3 linked regions of the Tribolium castaneum genome follow. The protein of the gene in region 2 purifies or fractionates together with the protein of the main gene of each other region. This does not show direct contact. Links are inferred from orthologs where the notes say so. Each region holds a gene or a part of one and is shown on either strand. Other genes may lie near its edges. The genes, in order: Cul1, Roc2 and Tusp.

Evidence for each region.
Region 1: the proteins of Roc2 (region 2) and Cul1 purify together in Homo sapiens (affinity purification with western blotting; 5 studies listed by BioGRID). This does not show direct contact. The link is inferred for Tribolium castaneum from reciprocal best matches to the Homo sapiens genes RNF7 and CUL1.
Region 3: the proteins of Roc2 (region 2) and Tusp purify together in Homo sapiens (co-immunoprecipitation; 3 studies listed by BioGRID and IntAct, with this or other methods). This does not show direct contact. The link is inferred for Tribolium castaneum from reciprocal best matches to the Homo sapiens genes RNF7 and TULP4.

The regions. Positions count from the first base shown.
Region 1 is NC_087396.1:22,570,049-22,577,544, forward strand, and holds the end of Cul1 (cullin-1), read right to left. Parts: intron 7,452-7,496; 5' UTR 7,418-7,451; coding exon 7,100-7,417; intron 4,319-7,099; coding exon 4,100-4,318; intron 3,218-4,099; coding exon 2,669-3,217; intron 2,621-2,668; coding exon 2,357-2,620; intron 2,309-2,356; coding exon 2,129-2,308; intron 1,488-2,128; coding exon 1,338-1,487; intron 1,288-1,337; coding exon 947-1,287; intron 899-946; coding exon 679-898; intron 628-678; coding exon 547-627; 3' UTR 220-546; downstream 1-219. UniProt on the Homo sapiens protein: Core component of multiple cullin-RING-based SCF (SKP1-CUL1-F-box protein) E3 ubiquitin-protein ligase complexes, which mediate the ubiquitination of proteins involved in cell cycle progression, signal transduction and transcription.
Region 2 is NC_087397.1:2,861,969-2,869,013, reverse strand, and holds Roc2 (RING-box protein 2), read right to left. Parts: upstream 3,885-7,045; 5' UTR 3,773-3,884; coding exon 3,428-3,772; 3' UTR 3,181-3,427; downstream 1-3,180. Other genes in the region: dual specificity mitogen-activated protein kinase kinase 7, read right to left, coding at 80-227, 274-457, 507-1,084, 1,318-1,470, 1,823-2,037, 2,085-2,264, 2,314-2,541, 2,597-2,835 and 1 more; Slik (STE20-like serine/threonine-protein kinase), read right to left, coding at 5,853-6,020, 6,442-6,681, 6,841-7,045. UniProt on the Homo sapiens protein: Catalytic component of multiple cullin-5-RING E3 ubiquitin-protein ligase complexes (ECS complexes), which mediate the ubiquitination and subsequent proteasomal degradation of target proteins.
Region 3 is NC_087400.1:573,627-581,652, reverse strand, and holds part of Tusp (tubby-related protein 4), read left to right. Parts: intron 1-5,110; coding exon 5,111-5,275; intron 5,276-7,102; coding exon 7,103-7,831; intron 7,832-7,880; coding exon 7,881-8,026. UniProt on the Homo sapiens protein: May be a substrate-recognition component of a SCF-like ECS (Elongin-Cullin-SOCS-box protein) E3 ubiquitin ligase complex which mediates the ubiquitination and subsequent proteasomal degradation of target proteins.

The sequences.
Region 1 (7,496 bases), on a different chromosome or scaffold from region 2:
TGTCATTGCATGTTGCACTAGCACACCGAAAGGTGGCGCGAAGTCAAATTATTCAGCCAACTGTGATATTTTTCTCATTTTTTCATTTTCCTATTAACAAAGGTGTATCATCAATTTAATATAGAATAAAATAATAAATAAATTATTCATAGTTTTATTTATGTTTTTTTGATAATCGTATTCCAATGTGTGTTAAAGTGGCGTTAACTCAAACAGCAATTTGTCAAAACAATTTATTTAAAATCGGTGAATTAAATTACATTCGTATTCTTTTCACATAGTAATACAAATAAACAGATTCTATACAATTAATAAAGTAAAAGCAGAATTAAAACAAAAATTCAAAGGAATATCAAGAGAGCGCCAGAACTCAGATTGACAGTTCTAGGACAATTCAATCAAAACATAAATACAGTTGTGTATTTTTTAGTATAGCATATCACTTAAAGTACAATTTATTTTTCGAATATTTACAATATACAAGCCACTCGTTGACTCCGCCGGTTGTTAATCAAAGACAGTTGGGTGACAGTTGCGTTTGCTGAATCATGCCAAGTAGCTGTAGGTGTCCTTCTGACCCTCAGTCCTCTCCAGATACTCCTTCTCGATCAGAATATCTATGCATTTCTGCAACAAAACACAAATCAAACACACAACTAATACGAGAAATATCATCACCTTGATGATGTGAACCCTCGGCTTGAACCTTGACGACAACTGGTTCAAAACTTCAGCCACCAACTGTTGATGTTTCAGTATTTTCCTCATTTTCATGATTCGTACAATCGCGGCTTGAATCAGCAACTTCCTGTCCTCTTCAATATGCTTGTGAGTTGTTTCTTGCTCCATCTTTAGCTCGGTCTTCATCGGAATATTGATATTGACCCGAAGTTTTTTACTGGAAGAAAAACTCAAATCGGGGGACACCCCTGGCGCGTAAACTCACTTTTTATATCCTAGGAAAAGGTTCACAACCGAGTGTGGCGCGAGCTCGTTCTCGTCATCATCGCAAGTGATCAGCTTCGCTTTAAGTAATATCTGTATGACCTGTATTAGGAAATCTGTTTTGATTTGTGTATTCTCCTCGAGTTGAGCTATTGTCCAACTTTCAGACACGTTGAACTGGAGCAGCACAGCCATTTGAAACGTACTAGCTTGGAGTGTGTATCTATTTTTAAAACAGTTCGTGTGTAACTCTCCTTTCGACATGTTATACAGCCAATTTAATTTCCGGCCCGAATGCTGACCGGAATAGAAATTTGTAAATCTATGAACACTTCTTTCAAGCTGCAAACGTACAATTTATCTCCCAACCCTACAACAAGCAAAAAACGCACCTCGGTCGGCAATCCGAAGGTGAAAGATTGCTGGAAAGGCCATGATCCGGAAGATAACACTTGAATACTAAAATCTATGTCTAGGGTTTCGTTTGATTTTAATAGATGACTTTTGAATTGCTCGTTCAGATCTTTAGACACGCCAATGTCCTAAAAAAATACAGATTACGCCAAAATCAACGCTTTCAAGGCTGTTTTTCGAAAGAATTAACGATAAAATGGCCCAAAAATGGCAACATAAACCGTCATTAAAGTAGTGACTTTTAATATTTTTTAGCATTTGAAATTTCAAAATTATTTCATAATAATCATTTGAGATCTCCCGACTTATTTTAATGAATTTTCGGCTTATTCCGGAGGACTTTCGCAAAAAGAAGCATTTCTGAGTGAAAAACGTACAAAAAACAAGAAAAAAATTTAAAGTTCAATTTGTATTTTTTGGAAATTGTCAAATAAAAAGTTGAAAAAATTAAATTTTTAGCCAAAAACTTGGAAATTTAGCAAGACAAAAAGAAAGTCGCCTTCAGTTCAAAGTTACCACTGAAATCTCCAAAAGGAGAGCAGGCCTTGAAGTCAGTCATGAAAAACGGAAGAAATGCGTATAACCAAAGTCACTTTGCAAAAAATTATGTTTAAATTCGCATTTCCGTTGATTGTTTGTTTATCGATATGATAAATGTGCAGAAAATCGTTTATAAATGTCTCGTATTAACGCAAATTGTTTATTAATAGAAAATCATTCATTCTCGGGGTCATCAATGACCAATTAAAAACCAATTGTACCAACTTGCCTGGAACATCCTTTGCAACTTGGAGGTGTACTCAAACCCGCATGCCTGTTTCAGTTTTGAGATCATTGAAGCTTCAGCATCGTCACTCGCCGACATGTGCTGGACCAATCGCTTGGCCAGCATTTTACTGTAGAACTTTTGAAAAACGTCCTTATCTTCGATATATTTGAACACAACCATCTGAAAACACAATCAAAACCCCACCCAAAACAAAACCTCGTTACATACGACTTGGTTTAACGTATCTTCGAGCTCCGCCTCCTCCGGATTCTTGCTCGACTTCTTCAGCAGCAAATCACAGTATTTCGCGAGCAATTCCGGCGATTTGCTGCTCGAATTGGCTTTTTTGGTAACGGCATTGGCGTTGATGAAACGACCACATGCCTTGTCCAAAGCCGCCACAAAACCGCTATCGTTGTTGAACGCCACCAAAACAAGAGCGTTGTACTTCTTGTGCACCTCCAGAATCGTGTTGACGTAAATTTTCGGGTCCTAAATACAGGTTATTAAAAACTGGGAGTTGTAGTAACAGTTAGTTACATTATGGGCGCTTTCTCCGCATTTTTCAATCGCTGAGAGCCCCTGAGCTGCGATATGTTGCTCGAGAAGCGTCCGTAATTCCCCTAAACCGTCCGGAATCCGCGCTACCAACGAGTACATCCGACCCAAATCCTCGTCTTTGTCGGCGTCCAACAACTGCTGGAACTCCGAATGGAACATGTCGAGGTGCTTTTTAATGAGGACTCTTTCGCAGGTTTTGGCTAAACGGCCGCTTGTTGTTTCGTGTAGATAGACTTGGACGCGTTTCTGTTCTTCGAGGAGACGTTGTTCGGCCTTTTTCATGTATTCAGTGACCGGATTTTGTGCTAGGAAGTTGTTACTCTCTTTTAGGTAGAAGCGTTCAGTGTCTTCCAGAAACATGTTTTCGAAACTCTCTTTGTACACCGATAGGTTCGGTCCTTTGGCCCCTGGTTCCTCCTCGTTTAGGCCCAATTCCACGTAACAGTTTATCACGCCAGAGACTAAACGAGTGTTGATTGTTTCGCCGTTGCGCTCGCGTTCGATCAGTTTCAGAACGGCAGTTGTTACCTGGTTTGAACGGGGGAGAAAAATAAAAACGACAGCCCCGGATAGGGGCTTGCAAACTCTCAATATTTACTAATTTAAAACGAAAGCAAAAACAAAACTTTTAAAATTAATATAATTCTATTTATTACCTCAGAAGTATTTTTTTTATTTCATTTTTCTGAGGATTTTTCCATACCAGATTAGCTAGCGTAAGTGGGCTAAAATAAGTTTATTTTTACCGTATCGCAAAAAATTATAAACACACATTAAATGCCTGTTTTTCTCTATGCAAGTAAATCTTTTCAAAATTTTTACAAGTTCCTTATACGCAATCAAAACAAATTAATTAATCGTAAGCGACTGAAAAAAATATTTCAAATTTTGATTTATGTCAAAATTACGTAGAAAACATTGTAGCTAGCCTCAAAAAATCCTCCAAAAAGTTGGATGATCTCACATTAAATTGTAACCAAAAACATTCAGGCAAACCAGCCCTTAATATTAATTTATTAATTTTAAGAAATTGTAGAAAAAATATGAGAAAATTCACATACAGGGTGAGTCAATAGTGGGTTAAATTTAAATGTTTTTTTGACCTTCATGTGGAGTGTAATCTTTCAAATTCAAAATGTCAAATCTTCCTAAAGGCTCCAGATCTTCAGCTACTCATACTCTCCGAGATTATAAATATATTTTTGAAATTTATTAAAGCTTTCATCAAAATCGCCTTCTGCTGAATTAGCCGACTTTTCGGTTCTTTTTGGATAATTTTGAAACTGTTCTCACCTTCTAAATTAAATAAAAAAAAAAGAAGTTAAATAAAGTACAGTGAGCCGTAGATGACCCCTCGTTTTTCCCTTCCCCATAAATATTGATAGTTTTCCGCGCGAATTTGTGGCTAACCTGTTTGTTTAATTGTTTGAACAGATGATCTCGCCATGTCACCAGTGCGAGCTGATAAATTTCGTAGATTCCTTTCCTTCCCTCTTCGCATTCTCTCTTCACCCAATGTCGATTCAAATACGAGCAAATACCATTCAGAACCTTGCTACTGAACTGATACTCCTCCCATTGACGCGTATAAAATTTCAAAACGCCTTCACCCATCCGATTCATCCCGTCCTAACAGAAAAAAAAATGAAAAAATTGATTTGTAAATCTTCCGGTTTCGAAATTACTACGCAATAATCAAATCACGTCAATAATAACTTGTTTTGCTACATGTCTGTTTCCGCCTTTATTGCGTTAATTGTGTTTTTATTTGTGCGGCGGACCAAACAATACGCATCGAAACAACAAAACGCAGTTGGTTCGCAAACGTGGATTCATAAATTAATAAAATTATATTCATATTTGTCCAGTACGTTTTTTTTTTTCCAAACAGTTAAAACAGATAAGATTACTGAATAATTCACTCGAATTTTTTATCTTTCTCTGGTGTCTTATTCGAATTGAGATTCCATTAAGGTGGGTTTAAAAATAACACGTATTGTTATAATTACCTTTTAACCAAGGTTAATGACAGAGTTTAACTGGAATTTGCATGTAAACGTAAAACATTGTAGTCTTTACAAAAAAAAAATTCCAAAGAAATTATTTTGTCTCAAATCGCTCAGTTTATTTTATTTAAACCACAACAACGAATATTTTTTTTAGATTTTAGTAAATTTCATCATAGATTTTTTCCAACTTGTTCGTTCATAAAAAGCAAAACAATTCACGACTAGGCTTTTATTACTGTCAAGATTTGCTGGCGATTATTGCGTCAAAATCATGATTCATTCAATTTCTTGTTTCACAATCTTATTCCGCGCTCGATTAACACGACCTGAACCGTCTCAACTAATTTACGAGTCGTTCCAACAGATAACGATGATAAAATGTGAACTTCATCCTTTGACCAATTTAAAATTGTAATTTTCGTTATCCCTTCGTGCATTATTCAGTCACACTTTCTCCACGCTTCCACTTAATATTTTAACACTGGCATTTCGTTTTTTTTTTTTTAATCAAAAACAGATATTCCCTCGATCGATAAATTAAGCGTCACCGGAAAATTTCCTCAACCGAAAATTAGTCTTGCATCAACTGCGGTAATTACAGCACGAAACGTCACTCAAGGAAAAACAACAATTCTGCAATTTTCGGTATTTTTCCCCGATTTTGTTATTGCCAAGTGCACTTCTTATCCGTCGACCCTTTGAACTTTCGCTGGAAATAATCGCTGACCTGAATTTTCACCGAAAAACGTATTTACTTTCTTGCACCGAAATTTTGTAATAAAGCGGAAGTAAATGTGGCGCCATTGCCATAGCTCGTGACCAAACAACATTCAAGATAATTAACGTTAAAACACTGTTGGAAACGAGATTTTTTTTTATCTGTGGCGAATCGATAACGTTGCGTAATTGATACCATTATAAAAATATGAAATATTCAAATACGTGGTCGTTCAACTCGCAACAAATTCAATTTTTATGATGCGAGGGGTTTGTTTCGATTGTGTGAAATCCAATCCATTAGATTTTCGTTATTTCAGGATCGTTAGTCCTAAATTAATTGTTGGCACATTCTTCCCTTTGAAATTTTAACTCATTTCATTCTTGAACTGCGTCCAATTATTTTGGGACGGAAACCAAAAATAATGAGTGATTTATTGAGATGAATTTTCATTCATTTGAGATAAGGAACTGGCGGTGGCAATCGCCCACACACCACGAGCAAACAAACGTTTCTTCTACAATTAGCTCACGCTGTAATGTTATCAGAATGTTATCATTTTCACAAAATATTACCAGCACCATCAATAAACTGAAGAAAATTAAGATAAATAATAAGATAAGATTAACCGTTTTAAACAATCTTCTAGAACAAACACAGAATCATAATCAGATTGAAATTTAACTAAAAAAAATGTAAAACTAAAAAATAGTCTTATTGAAATGGACAATAATTCTACTTTAGAAACATTCCTTTAAAAATACCACTTACCACCACCAAAAAATTGTTCTAAAACGCAACAATTTGTGTTAATTTAATTGTTTAAGAAAGTTAAGGTAAATAAAACTAAGCAGCCTTTAAACAAAACCTTTCACAAAGCAGAATATAAATACAGATTAAAATTAAAGTAAAAAATTGTAAAATCAAAATTCGAAAATGTATCGAAGTGATATTAAAAATAGCAATTTTTACGTTCAAAAACATTTTTTTATTAAAACTATCAAATTAAAACTAGTCAAATTAAAACACACAGTCTAGGAGTCGAATTATTTAAGAAATTGAGAATAAACTGCATACACAGTTCATTTAAAAAAAAAAGCACATTTTTTGCATCTCTGAAAAACTGTAACTATTTAAACTTATCTGGCGTTTATCTGACGATTGTAAAATCCACCCTTAGTTAAATATCATATAATTATTACAATTTGAATAAACTTGAACAAATATAAAAAAATTATAATAATGTCTTCTATCCGTAACAAAAATATCCAGTTTTGAATAAATTTATACTCGAAAAAGTAAATAACCCCAAATTTCAACTACAAGGATGACATAAAAAACAACAAATACATAGAAAAATATCCTTAAAAACTAGCAAAGTGCTTTTAAGCAATGATGCAATGCATATGTCTCATTACTATTGTAACTTTTTTTAAGATAAATGTAGAACAGACAAAATAATCGGCAAAACCAAAGCCTTGGTAGAGTCATCACATCTCTTTAATTCTCTCGTTAATTCTTTAATTAGGAGTAAGATAAACAGTAGAGCAAATCCTTGTGTTTAACAAATTTAATTCTGACCCAGTGCATAAAACTTGGAAACAAAAACATGTACTTTCGTTAGTAGCACAATTCCGGTCATATTTCCCGTTTTTTGGGCGAAAATGAATGCAAAAGGCTTACACTCAGCAGAGTCACCAGATAGTTCCTCAGGAACTCCCTGATCCTCTTGTAGAGCTCGAGGCCCACGAGCTGGGCGCCGCCCCCAACCTGGCTCTTCTTGTTCTTGGTGGAGATGCTGGAGGAGCCCCTGCCATTGGCCTGCTGGTGCACCGAGGTGCAGTAGTCATAAACATGGGTGTACAGCTGGATGTAGAGGTACTTGGGCATGTGCTGCTGGCTGTATGCATGCTCGATCCCCGCGTGCAAATCCCCCCAAATCTGATCCAGGTCGATCTGTTTGAGCCCCGCTGTGTTATTGACGGAATTTTTATTCGACATCTCCTCAGCACTCCACAAGCAAAACGTTCGCACTCTGAAACCACCAAGACAAAGATCACGCCCGGTCAAAACGGCACGT
Region 2 (7,045 bases):
CACCAACAGCAGTGCTATGAAGGCAATTTCGATATTAAAAATTGGCGTTTTTTTCTCTAAGTACTCTAAATTTTGTATGTTATGAGACGTCGTTATTGTGGAATAGCCGCCTTTGGGGCTCTGGCGTGTAGTGAAATCGCGCCCTTAAATGTTGTGGAGAGCCTGGCACTGACGTGCTTTCGGATAAACGTCGTGGCGGAGGCACCGGAGGCGTTGGCGATATATACCTGAGTTACATACGATATTTTTTTGACCGCCTGAAAATTCACTTACCTTCGCGACAGACTAGGCGAATTCGTTTCTAAAAAATTCCGGTGCAACGCTAGAGGACTTTGATTTTCGCTACTGATGGTCCTATTGAGTCTGGGTGGGGGCTCGGGGCTTTGGTGCCTCGACGACCTTCCACTCCGGTCACCGCTTAGTTGCAACTTGATGTAGGAAGCAAATCGTTTTTTTCCTACATTGCAACGTTAATTTTGGTTTAGGTTGGGTGGGAGATTTCTTACCCGATTCTTCGGCTTCTTTCGCCAGTTGTTGCTGCTTTTGTTGGTGGTAGAATCTTTGTAAAATTATAGGACTAGTATTTCCACAGTTGTATTGTTCTTGGCTTTGAAACTGCGACCTAAGGGGCAAAGGTGAGGCACTTGGGGAGCGCCAGTGGCTCTCGGGGGCCCTTCTGGCGGGGTAGGGCGACGCCCCCGCCCCTTGAAACTCGTCTTGTTCGCGCTGTTTCGCCGCCAGATGGTTCTGATATGCTTTAAAGGGCGAGTAGGTTTTGAAAAGACTATCGTTGGGCTCGGCGCTTTGGTGAGGCAATAAATCGTCTGTCCTTTGGTTATCGTTTCTTTGGTGATTCAATTGGAATGTGCTTAAACGTGAATTGTGCCGACCTTCCGGCGGTAGACTTTGATAAACCGGCGGTTCTTCCTTCTTAGGTTCGGGCGGTTTTAGCGGTTTGTAGGAACATTGCGCGTTGCCGTTGGTAATATTCGTCAGGAATTGAGCAAGATGTTGGGTGTTTGGTGGTTGTTGCCTTTGATGCGAGGTAAAAAAACGACGTAAGGTTGACTGAGCGAGGTTTGGTCTAACCAAAATAAACTCGATTATAATTGAACGAAACTAAGCAGTGCGGGAAATAACAGTACGGGCAACTTGGTCAAGTTAAACTTACTGTTAGTTACCTTAGTAAACGCATGCACGGTTTTAATAAAAACCACCACTTTCTTTATTAATCACTCAGAAAACACAGCAAGCAATTAATAAAAACTAAAGTAAAAGAAATTATAAATCAAAATCGAAACTAACCATGCAACATACCTAGGCGCTGTTGGATTCGCCACAGCGTCTGCCTCCTTAAGTGCGTTCACCACCCACTCCCCCACATTCACCAGCTTTACTTCGTACTTTTTAATAAACGACAAATTTTTCAGTTTCGCATATTTAGGCCTCTGTTTTTGATCTTTAATTAAACTGAAACCAACGTTTAAAGACCGGCTCTTAACGATTCAATGTTAATTAAATAGGAGGCGACAGCCACAGATCACCCCGGTTACAAATTGTCTTAAATTATTATGTATATTGTTTTCGAAAATATCTTTATTTCTTTACACCTAACTACAATTTTCTGTATATCTTGTGTTGAAGATTATTATTATTAATATTATTAGAGATTCATTTTGCGAAAAACGCGTTCATTGAAGTCAAATCACAAAAAATATTTCGTGAAATATCAGCAAATCATGTAAATTATTACGTAAATTCTTACTTTGCATAAAAGCAGTGTGTCGCCTCCTATTTTAGGCTCCCACAGTGCCATACTTACCAAAATTTAACAAATTCCCTAAATTCCGGACTAAAAGTCTCAGGTAAGCTTGGCGGATCTTGTCCTAGCACTTTGGTTAGGACTTCAAAATCGGTTGTACAGTTGGGATATGGGAAAACCCCCGTTGCTAATTCAACTAGAGTTATGCCTAATGACCAAACGTCGGCACGTATGTCATAGTCGGGATTTTTAGGGTCGGGTTCAATGCGTTCCGGCTAAATTAAAAAATTAGAAAAAAAATAAATGTGGGGGAAAAACTCACAGCTAAATATGCAGCACACCCAGCGCTCCTAGTTTTTGCCATTGAGTCCACCAAACGTCCACTAATACCAAAATCACACAATTTTATATGGCCTTTAGTGTCGATCAAAATATTTGAAGGTTTTACATCCCTATGTATCACACCGTGCTTATCTTTTAAATACGATAAAGCCTCTACAGTCTGTAACGTTCAGTGAGCGTGGTGCTTGAAAAGGAAGACGTGTACTTACAGCAACTGTAACTTTACCCAGGATTTCTTCAGGTATCGGTTTACCTAACCGTTTTAGTAACTTATCAAAGCACGTAGTCATGAGCTCCATGCATATCCAGACTTCCGAATCGGTTATAAAACAGCCTAAACATTGAACTATATATTTACAGTCGTGTGACTTTAGGACCACTTCAATGTCCATAATAATCCTTTTGTTTTCGTCGTTGTTGCCCGAACGTCGCATTTGCTGAAATGGAAGCCCGTGAAATAAATTGTGTTAATTTTTGGACCTTGATGTTTACTTTGACGGCTATGATTTCGCCACTTAGTTTGTGTCTCATTTTGATAACGTGACCGCAGGTCCCGAAGCCCAGTTCTTCAAGTCTTTCCATATCTTTTATATCAGTTTCGTATAGTTTGTTGTTGATTGTTAGGTTACCACTAATTTTCATGATTTCTTTCAACTTCCTATCAGTCTCTAAATTTTCACTGCTTCTTGGCGTGAAAGATAAATCTCGTGGCCGGCTGGGGACCATGCCCACTGGGAAAACCAAAGATCGCTCTTATTTTCCCCCTTAACTTATTAAACAACTTACATGGGAGACTCGGGCGACTGTGAGGAACATCACCATTATTTCTGGCGATACTTTGACCGGACATTTGCAGATTGCGTGGAGGATTGTTTCCTTGTCTTAATCGATCTAATAAATTATTTATTTTCTGTTCTTGACTAGACATAATTATACTTACTACAAAGTCAAAACCAATGACAGCTATAACCTGTAACTTTTAGCTGCCAAAGGAAAAACACCATCGGTTGGCCAACCTGACACAGTTGCTACCGAACTCATCAGAAATCAAAAGTTCCCACAAATAAAACAACCAGTTCTGTTTTACAATTTTATTAATAAAAGGAAATACAATTAATTATGTTTGGGCATGTTTGGCATTATGATGCCTCTTTAGTTTTTGACTTTCCGTGAAAGACTTGCCACAATTGGGAAACTGGCATACATAAGGCCTCTCCCCAGTGTGGCTCCTCAAATGGATGATCAGGTGGTGCCGTTCGAAAAATGTTTTAAAGCATTCGTCACACTTATGTAAGCGCAAACCCTGAAAAGTACACGAAATCATTATTTGCCCATCCTCTGGATGGACCATTCTTGCTGACACAACGGGCAGCGATTATTTTGCTTGACCCACAAAGACATGCAACAATAGTGAAACGAGTGGTTGCACTCCCCCCACACCACCACGCAATCCTGCTTCCCGTACGAGTCTTTTTTGCTCTCAGCTTGGCACCGCAAACACGCGTCCATCACTTGCACGCGACAAATCGCACAAGTGTCGCATTCCACGTCCCAGCTCCACATTGCAACAGCGTTCCATTTTTTCAAAGTGAACATTTTCTCGCTCTTGGCTCCCTCGCCGTCGAGGCGCTCGGTGTTCTCGTTCTCGTCGGCAATAGAACTCGACATGGTGGCAGTTATCAACCAAGGGCGTTATTTATTATCCTAATTGTAACCTCAATATTTGCGATGACGTTTGACGCGTTAGTAACAGTGCCACCAACAAGAACACGCTAAATTACAAAAATACCCACCTGATGGTACCTTTGGTGCTTCAGGAGCTCTTTTTTGGTATAGAACGCCGAAGGGCAGGACTGGCACTTGAATTCCTTGATTCCTGTGTGAATTCTTTCGTGCCTCTGCAAACTGCACTTTGAAGCAAATGCTCTGGAACACTGCGAGCAGTAAAATCTGACTCCTTCATGATGCTTTTTTTCATGTGCCCTCAGATTACTTCGCACAGAAAACCCAAGATTACAGAGCTTACACACGTAACCTTTCACTTCCAGGTGTATTTTTTCGTGGCAGGTTAATGAATTTTTTGTGATGAAGCCTTTGCCTGTAATAATTTTTTACTTGTGGGGCGTTAATAGAAATAATTGTTACCACAAGTTACACACAAAAACGAGCGTTTCCCCTGATGTTTGAGCTCATGCGTTTTTAATGTGTAGGCGGAACTGAGGATTTTTTTACAATTCTTCCAACTACAAACGAATTTGGCTTTTTTAAACGCCTCCAAATCCTCTGTTTCTATTTTATTTTCAAAACTATCATGTTGCGAATTTTCTTCTTCTGTGAAACAGTTGTGAGACCCATACTCCTCCAAGTTACAAAACTTGTTATCACATTTCGGACACGAAACTTCTGCTTTAATTTCCTCCTGACTAACACTTATCTGGTGTGAATTTAAATGATTCTTAAATAAATCATGATCACTGAACTCCCCTGGACATTGTTCACACTTGAAGATTTCTTCTTTAGTGTCCTTACTTTTGGCTTCGCAATTTTTTAAAATCCTTCTGAAACACTGATCCACTTTGCGAATGTGTTGCTTGTAAAGCGAAAAACATTTTATGGTTTTTTTGCACTCCTCACACACAGAACGCGGCAAAAGCTCCATAGATTTATCATTTACCTACAAAAAAGTTCTTTAATAAATTACAAATTGGGCAAGTTTTTTTCACCTTCACTTTTGTGCATTCGTAAATTTCTTTTACTAATTTTTTGTCTGTTTTTATGTCGTGTTGGCCGGGCTTTGTGTGACACAATCGGCAGTTTTTCAGCCTTATTTGTTCGAATAAAACCATTTTCGTTTTTGTTGGTAAACCGTACCCTAACCTTACTTTTTTTTAATATACAGTATGTCCCAGAAAAGTTGAGGTGGAAGGATTAAATCGAATTCTATTTATATTATTTATTTGAATATAATAGTTACTGGTAAATAATATGCACATAAAAATAAAATACACTGACTGTACATCATAATAATACAGAACAGCATGATAGTGGCAAACGTTAGTAAAGAACTAAAAGACGATAAAAATCTTATCACACTGTCCTAATAAACTTAAGTTAGATGGAATTTGTATGTACACCTTAGAATACAGCTGATAAAAATTTCAGTATTTAAATAACATGGACTATAATAGTATTTATACATCAGACTGGAGTAGTGCAAGCGTAAACAAAAAACAATCCCAATACAATCTATTATGTTAAATAATAATTAATCAGTATTTATTGTTAGATAATACCTCAATACAAAGAAAACTTACTTACGAACATGATATAACAATCTTTTGAACTATTAGTACAATCTAACTTAATTATTTCACAAAATAACAAGTGTAACCTGTCAGTCTGGTTTTAATAAATGCACACAATTTTAAATCCTCAATCACCTCTAATCTTAATTTAATAAAAAGGATCGACGTAAAACTAGTCTAGTTTTAGCAAGCAAGCTAACAATAGTTTATTTGTTTTCAGTAAACAACCTGAAAAAAATTCTCCCTTTCGAAATTTCCAAATTTAAGTAGCTTATCAGGTCACCTCAATCTCTCTAGTAAAAGAAACAAAACGAAAAAAATGTTTCATACGATTTTCTTAATTATTCAGTCTGTGTAATAAGTATATACACGAGTTAGGGTAATCAATGCTCGCTCTGGATCTGCAGAGGCACATTTTGGAGTATACTGTTTCCTAAAGCGTTCTATCCCTCCGAAACCGACGATAAACTGCTCCTAGTCGACCCCATCCCGATCTTGCAACTCTCCTGGCTCAGATCGGGCAAATCTGGAGGCAAAGCCAGAGGAGTACTGATCGGCCCATAAACCCTTTCCTGTTCTTCCAACTGCTGGGCAAACGCCTCTTCCAATTTCTAAACAATTACACAATTTACGACACAAAAACGAGGAGACAACGGGTGTTAGTTAGTACAAGCAAGCAAACGAAAACACAATCTAAACAGCAGAATCATCATCGGGATTCGAAGGAAGGAAAACACTGGCTCTGCTACTACTACCGCCACCGTGGGTCCAAGACCGCACCCGCCCCCAAGTGGGTGGCGAGTCCCTAAATGTGGGAGTGTTAGGTGTAGTTAGTGGGAATTGAATATCCTGATCGGTTGATGACGATGTGCTTAGTCCGGTTACATGCAACTTTGGTAAGTATTTGACGAAATCCGACGTTACCAACTCTGTGTGCATCTCCTCCTCGAGTTTCTATAAAGCGTGCATTGGTATTAGTGTGCATGCAGACAATCTTGCAGAAGAAAAAACAATAGCGCGCTGGTGTCTTACCTGTTTTCGCGGTTTGAGTTGAGCTTTCCATTCTTTTAGTTCGCGACTGAATGCTTCTTCGCGTTGCTTTAGTTTCATCGTTTCGTGTTCGAGGAGCATTTTACGCTTTTCGTTCTGGAGTTGTTCGAGCTCTTTGATGGTGGCGTCGCTCATTGCGCGGAGCTCTTCGAGTTGGCGCTGGTGTTTCAGCTCGAAGCGTTGCTGCTCGGCCTGGTAGCGCTTTTTCTCCTTCTCTTGGAACTGAGAATTTTTTTGTATAATCATTATTTTTAACAACTTTCACATAATAATGGTTTTAATGGTTAAAAAATGTGTTAAATCATCGAAACAAACAAAAATAATAAAATTTTTGACTTCAGTTTTTACGCGGAAACGTTTTCAAAAAAAAAAATAACAAACCTCTTTAAACTTATTCTTCTCTGCTTCCGGATCGTTCGTCCCGGAAATTGATATCCTCATCGACTCCCTGAACATCAGCTCTCTCGCCTTCATCTCCGTCCTGATCCTCTTCGGCAGCGACCTTTTTTCCGCCGCTTGTTTCTTTAACAACTCCTCTTCCTTCCTCGCCGCCCGTCTCTTAATCTGCTCCTTCTCCTTCTCATGC
Region 3 (8,026 bases), on a different chromosome or scaffold from region 2:
ATTTAAGCATCGTTTATTTTTGAGTGACGTAAGAATACGAATTTTTTTGTTGATTTTGTAAGTTTGTCAAGCTTATAGTTTTATGTGAATCACCCTGTAATTTAAACAATGTGTAAAATAGTTTTTGCCTTTTATGAACTAAAGAAAACCAAACAGGACAACGGAAAACAATTTAAAAATATGAAAAATAATATACAGGGTGTATCAGAAATACGTGTATTAATTTTACCACGTAATACAACTCACCAAATACAACAACTTTTCTACAGGGTGCTCAACTCAGTGGTACGTTGTTGAGAAGCATGTCTAGATTACGAAAAAAATCTCAAAAAAAATCCTTAAGTCATATTTTAAAAAATCTACAAATTTATTTTGTTAACTTCTTCAATTTTTATTATTTTTTAATGTTTTTATGTTTTATTTTTATGTTTATTTTTTAATTTACTATCAGACTTTAGCAGTTTTTGAATTAAAAAAATTGAAATTCATCAAAAAAAAATCACAATTTGTAGATGTGCCAACACCGGTAATTATTTCCTAGGAAACTGTTTCAAAAATAATTAATTTTTATTGTTGATTAATTTTTTTTGCGATCACGACTCTTAGACAACGTTGCCACATATTATCAATAACTTTTAGAAAAATAATTTTTTTACTATTTTTACCTTTATATGTAAACAATTCTCTACCACACTCCATTGAGTTGGTGCGCCGCTTTTTGAGCACCCGGTATATAACGTTTTGCCAAATTTTTATTAATAATTTTTACTGTTTTTCTCCTTTTTTTTGTGCAAACGAGCCGGTCAGTGTTTAATAATAATAATAATTTTCATTGTTTTAAATTGTTTAAATTATCCGTTTCTGTCACTACGAAAATAATTCGGCTCTTTTATTTTTGTATCCATAGGCAGGTACACGTTTTAGTGCGTTACCTTTTTCCAAATTTTAAGTAAATTTGCGAATTTTTTATTGAAAATTTACAAATAGAAAAAATGTTTTATTTGTTGAGTTCTGTTGCCTGTTAAAATTGAGACACGTATTTCTGATACATCCTGTATTTAAGTCCAGTTATAACACAAAAAATACACTCACATTAACGTGAGTTTATTTTCCAATTTGTATAATTTTTTAATTGAATTGTTTCTTATTATTTTTTTAATGGATGATAAAATGTCATTGTGTAGGCATTTGACAATTAGTTTATTAAAATTGAATAATAATGACAGAAAATTGTAATGGTAAATTTTTCTAAACAAATGAGTTTAATTAAAAATAGTGTTGAAAAAAATTTAGTTATTTCCTGTTTAAAACGTTAAACTTAAAACTGTCTTGTGTATAAGGACATCTCAGAAGTAAAATCTACAATTTTTTTTCAAAAAATTTTACGTTTTTCCAAATTTTAAGGGTATTTTTTAAGTAAATTTTAGGTTTTTTGTGGCAAAAAATTGAGTTATTTCCTAGCATGAGTCATTAGTGTTCGCCACTTTATGGTTCGTTAGCGCTCATATTAGAGAAAAATCAACTAATGGATGTTTTAGGGTTTTTTAGGTCAATAATAATTTCATTCGCATCAAGTTTATCATTTAACGATTTAAAATTTCGTTGGATTTTTCGGGAAAATAATATGTATTTAAAAAATTGCTTAAAAGGTGTTTTAATTATTTAAATAATTCAAAATAGGATACAACTGCTTTGGCAATAGTAGATTTTGTAAAAAAATCCAATTAACACGACTAAAAATTTGTTTGACGTTTTAAATCAATACAAAAACCCATTTTTAAATTAAACCTGGCACGTTATTTCTCGTTGTGATAAAGTTCAATACGGTGTTAATTAAATAAGCACGGAAAAATTTGAAATCAAGTTTTGATATCACAAATATTGTTGTTTTAATAATTTTGAAAATTGCTGATCCACAAGTCTAAATATATCGTTGATTTTAATTGCTTTAGTTCGAGCTTGATGAGGGTGTAAAATAAGACGCCACGTGCACTTTCCACTTTCGCTGTGAAATATCGAATTTCATGGCAATTTCTTTAGCCATTAATGATTTATCTTGCACCGTTATTATTTTTCAACTTGACGCAAAAGACGACACCTCGCCATCATATAATGATTGAAGTGCTCGGACAATAATCTATTTATAAATTTTTATCTAGGTCGTAAGATATATAATGTAATCATAAGGGTGATGAGTTTGTCGCACCCTAACCATTGTCCCGAATTATCGAAATTGAAAACGAAATTATAAGGAAGTGAAACAACAACTATTCTCCTGCGAATTGTCTCGGAAAGAAATGATTGATTCTTTGTTATGACGGGTGTAAATAAAATATGAGCCTCCCTAATTCCCGTATTAGGTCGGATTTAGCTGAGAGCGGGTGGATTTGTTCCAAGAAAAACAATTTCAAATGATTTGATTTTTCACGTCCTTGATTGGTGTCGTAAAAAACACATTAGAAGGAATGTTTCGTGAAATGAATGACTTATGATGACTATTGATTTTTTCTAAATTTCGCGAAATGTTGTTCTTTGACTGAAATAATTTCCATGGGTTTTTTTCTCGTCTATCATTTATTAAAAAAAACAGGAAACCTATAAATCAATAAAAGTAAAATAATGACAACATAAAGCAATATCTACGAAGTATTGTTCAGAACCTTGAATGCTTAAAAATTGTAGAATATATTGTTTAATGTGATTCTTGCTTCTACAACAGTGAAACATTTTTTTCGAGGTTTTGTAGATTTTGTGCTTTGGCTAAAAAAATACATTTCTCTTTGCAACTAAATAGACATATCGTCGGACGTTTTGCTTTGGGGAATTGAAGGTTCATTACGGATTAAAGACGCTGTCAAACATTATTAGGGGCGCGAATTTGCGAGTCGAATACTTTCAGTGGCATTGACTCGGGTTAGGACCCCTATTTCAACTTTGAAGGCTTCACAGCTTTGGATCAAGGACATTAAAACAAAACATACAGGGTGCGACTTAAAGGTGGTAAACCAAAGTTATATTTTTTTAAATAGAACACCCTATATATTGTTGCATGATTAGATTCTACGCAAAAAAATAATGTAACTTTATATAAACTATTATGTGTCTATCTCTTTTCGTTTCGAAATTATTCAATTTTTCCTTGTAGAAAAGACCAACTTTTGAAAAATCGCTGCAAAGTCGCCTATGAATATTTTCCGGTAAATTTGCAACAGAAAAATTTAGAATATCCTGTATTTTTATGAAATAGTCGACTTTTACTTGAAACACGGAAATAATGTACAGGGTGTGCCAAAACGCAAAAAGTTGAATAACTCATTTTTTTAATAGAACACCATGTATTTCTTTACACGTATCGATAGCATTTTTCATAAGCTTTCTATTGATATACGGTTTTTATAGCAAATTTACAATATTTCTTAAAGTGTTCAAAAAAATAAAAAAATTATTTTTTATTTATTTTATTAATAATTATTGATGAGTGAAATTAATTTATGTATCAGGTAATAATTAGATTACTTGTGTAATTAGTCACATTAGTACATGTCAAAAAATTAATCAGATTCTAGGGTAACACTGTATTGTAATAAAATATATTTTTTTCAAAAATCTCGAAAAAAATTTTAAATTTGCTATGGAAACTCCATACCGTTAGGACGCTTATCAAAAATGCTTTCAATACATTTAATAAAATACAGGGTGTTCCATTTGAAAAAAAAGAGTTATTCAACTTTTTGTTTTGGCACTCTGTATATTATCTGCGTGTTTTAACTAAAAGTCGACTATTAGCTAAAACTACAAGGTATTCTAAGTTTTTCTGTTGCAAATTTTTCGGAAAATAGGTCTTTTTTATAACGAAAAGTTGAATAATTCCAAAACGAAAAAGATAGACTCATAATAGTTTATATAAAGCTACATTATTTTTTTGCGTAGAATCTAATTATGCACAAATATATTGGGTGTTCCGTTTAAAACATTTTTTGTTTGTGGACTTCAAATAGTAGAAAAACTATAGACCGATTACACACCGCTGGGTCACCCTGTATTTTCCGTTGGAGACACAACACCCCATAAACAAACTCAGCTAAGCAATTACACACTACCCACACTTGTACAAATTTCCTCCCAGACCAAGCAATTACTGGACAAAAGAAGACGTTTCCACCCTTATCCACAACCCTCTTATCGAGAGAATAAATTGATCGGTATTTTTATCAAACCGTAGTTTCGAGCACTTAATCAAGCTCCAAACTCACCCTCTTCGTAAGTTAGAAGTTAGTTTGCATTACAAACGCCTAAGTGCAGGTATTCGGGCTCTTTTATATGTGAAATTACATTATTCACAAGTCAGGAACGTAAACACGTTACACAGAGGGTTGCAAAATCGATTTTTCGTACGGTATATAAAATACAGCGAGTTGCAATTAAGAGGAAAAATTGAGATGAGTGCGTTTGCGTGACGTGGAGCGTTTAGTTTTGGGAAATAATGGACGGGATGGAAAAGCAATAAATTTCCTAAAGAGGTTTTATAGGAAGTCATGTTTTTAGTCAGTTGAGAAAAAAAATACAAAAAGTTAGTTTTTGTAAAAAATGGTGGATGCGCCGGGATAGAAATATAGCTTTAAATTTAAACGCTTACAAATTACATTTATTGCGGTAAACTTACGGTAATCAAAACCGAACATTTGATTTTGAATTCTGGCAAAAGCTGGTACTAGTTATTAGCTCATATCTCTGAAAAAGTTTCGCAAGTTTGGCTTTTATTCGGAATCAAGGCACAGTTTCGGTTTAACGTTCCACTTGTGAATATGAAAGGCCGTTATCTAGGCCAAAGTTGGCGGAAAGTGAGGAGAATTTTCATTTCGTTTTATTAGAAAACGTGTCGGAAATCGCACCAGCCTTACACTTTAATAAATTGATAAGTCCTTGGCTCTGGAAATTATCCAATCTTGCATTAATTATTGCAAGGTCCGTATTTAGCGGAAATTACCAATCAGTTTGGTCCACTCCTTCGAAATTGGAATCGACAGCTCGGAAATAGCAAATTACTATCTATCGACAAATTTTCTCCTAGATTAGAAGAATCAAAGTTTAAAGCTCAGCGTTGTTTCAGGACGAAGGATGGAAACTGAACAGGACAAATTACTATCAGGAAGGTTGGCTGGCTACAGGCAACGTTAGGGGTATCGTTGGGGTGACTTTTACAACGTCGCATTGTAAGAAAAACGTTGAATTTCCGCTCAGGACGAACTATAATTTGAGGGGACATCGATCCGAGGTAAAAATAACGTTTTAAAGTGCATTCGACCGACACAACAAGTGTTTTTTTGAAACTTAATTTGTGATTTTTTCTTACAAAGCTAGAGCTCATGTAATAATTTCACTTTAAAGCGATTTTTAGCGTGACATTTGAAGTATCTTTGCTTAAAATCAATGTGAGTGAGATTAGAGTCGTCGGTGCTGTAACACTTTCTGTACTTAAATTAAATCAATAGATTTGTTACCAAGGGAACGTTAATATCAAAAAACGAAATTTACTACTAGTCACATAATACGTTCAATTTTTATTACCATATTATTGCGTTTATTTATTTACCATCGATTTGAATAAAGCTGATTGAATAATAAATTAGTGAAGATTACTCGACGGTCGTGGAGGAACAGTGAAGATTTATAGTGGCTTATTCTCTAACGAAACAAGGTCACTTTCTATCAGTAAATATTTATCAAAATTTACCAACCCACAAAAAAATTTGTTGCGTTTACGAAGTTGGTAAAGAATATTCGCACCGGTTTTTAGTATCGCATAAAGTGCACGATGATGCGAATTTTATTTCTTAATATAATTGTATTGATCGGTGTTCAGCAATGCGAAAACATAAATCACTTTCAGTTTTCGAGGCAAATTATCACACGACATCGATTTGCATTAAAATTGCAGGATCTTCGTGGAAATGACAGGATGTGTGATCTATGATCGCGTGTGGGGTTTTGTGCGGAAGCTCATTTTGCAAGATTTTTGACTTTTAGCCCAGTCGAATTAGACAAATCGGGGGAAAAAATTTCTAGAGAGTTTGAATTTTTTTACTTGGGTCGCTAAAAAGTATGGATACAGTTAAATATTATAAAAACTATTCATTAAAACTTATTAAAATTTGGTATGTGCTTAAGAGTATATAAATTATATCGTTTCAGATGTTTATTAAATTTCTATCTTTATTTGTTACAAGGATACAAGACTAACTTGATTTTTTTAAATAGTAACAAGGGTCAAATTTAATATTTTTGAGAAAAGCATTTTTTTTCTGAGTTTTGTGGTATAACACATGCATACCTTAGTTTAATCAAAACTTAAAAAAAATCAAAAATTTTGAAAAATGTAAATCTTGTTAGCCTTGGAAATGTTGTCTTTATCTATCGTTAGCTCATTAACCAAAAAATAAGTAAAAGTTAAAATAATTGTTAAAATAACACTTTTAACGTTTTAATTAAGAAATTTTAAACACGGAATACTTGATTTTTATGCTACAAACGATGTTCAAACTGATTTCCACTAACTTCTTGGCTTTCTGTCTCCATGATAAACCAACATGAGATTTTTTTCGCTCAGTTTTACTTAAATGTACTATTATTAAACTAATTATTGCACCCAAGTTTAATTTTTGGCTAATAAACAAGTGACAGACATCACTATAACAGTATTTTCAAAGCTAACTTAGTTTTACTATTCCAGAAAATTTTTGAATTTTTATTTTTTTACATTTTAATAAAAGTAAAGGTGGGTATCATGTTACATCATTGAATTCAGAAAAAAATTCTTTTTTGAAAATGATTAAATTTGATTCTTCGTGCTGTTTAAAAAAATTAAGTTAGCCTTGAATTTTTAAAATAAATGACGATAAAAATTTGAAAAAGCTCTCAGATGATAGAATTTAAACACTTTTAACTGTTCCCAAATTTCAAGGTTTTCTGTTAAACCGTTCTGAAAATATTTAACTGTATCCATACTTTTTAGTGACTCTGTATCCAGCAAAAAAATCACTCAAAATTTAATTTAATAATTTAAAATTTAATATAATCTTTTGATAACTGCTTTGGTGCTTAGGTAATCCTTGTAAAATGGAACGAGCCGTACCAGAAGCTCGCCTCCTGCGACAGCTCTGGCATAATCTTCGTCTGGATCAAGTACGAGGGTCGCTGGTCAATCGAGCTAATAAACGACCGCAACACTCCCGTGACCCATTTCTCGTGGTCCCACGACGGCCGAATGGCCCTCATCTGCTACCAGGACGGCTTCGTCCTTGTCGGTTCCGTCGCCGGACAGCGCTACTGGTCCTCGATGTTGAACCTGGAGGCGACCATCACTTGCGGCATCTGGACACCCGACGACCAACAAGTCTACTTCGGCACCACCTCCGGCCAAATCATCGTCATGGACGTGCATGGGGCGATGGTATCGCAAGTCCAGCTCAGTTCAGAGGTGGGTATCACGTCCATGGCGTGGTCGTGCGAAAAATTCAAGATGGAAGAAGGCGATGAGAATGACCCGGGAGTGGCGAACGCCGGCGAAAGGAAGTTTGTGTTGGCGGTGTGTTTGCAGAATGGGTTCATTTTCCTGCTGAAGACGTTCGATGACGTGTCGCCGATTCAGATTGATACGGGGATGCAAGGACCCTTGTGCATGGAATGGAGTAATTCGAGGGAGTTGTTGGCGGTGGCGGGCGTCGCTTTCGACAACAAAAGCGCCGGAGTTCAAGTGGAGTACACCAATTTGCTGAAGTTTTATAACGAGAAAGGCGTTTTGTTGTATTCGGCCTGCGTTCCGTTCACACAGGTAAAAGTACGGTGTTAACACGATTCAAAATAATAGTCTCATTTTTTAGGCCCCAGTGTCGGCCCTAACTTGGGGCCACAACGACAAAAGGCTGTTTCTTGCCACCGGCACCCAAATTCACATCGCTTGGGTGTCGCGTAGAATTGCAACGCTTCAGTTACTTTGCCGGTTGCGAATTCACGATTCTATCCAACA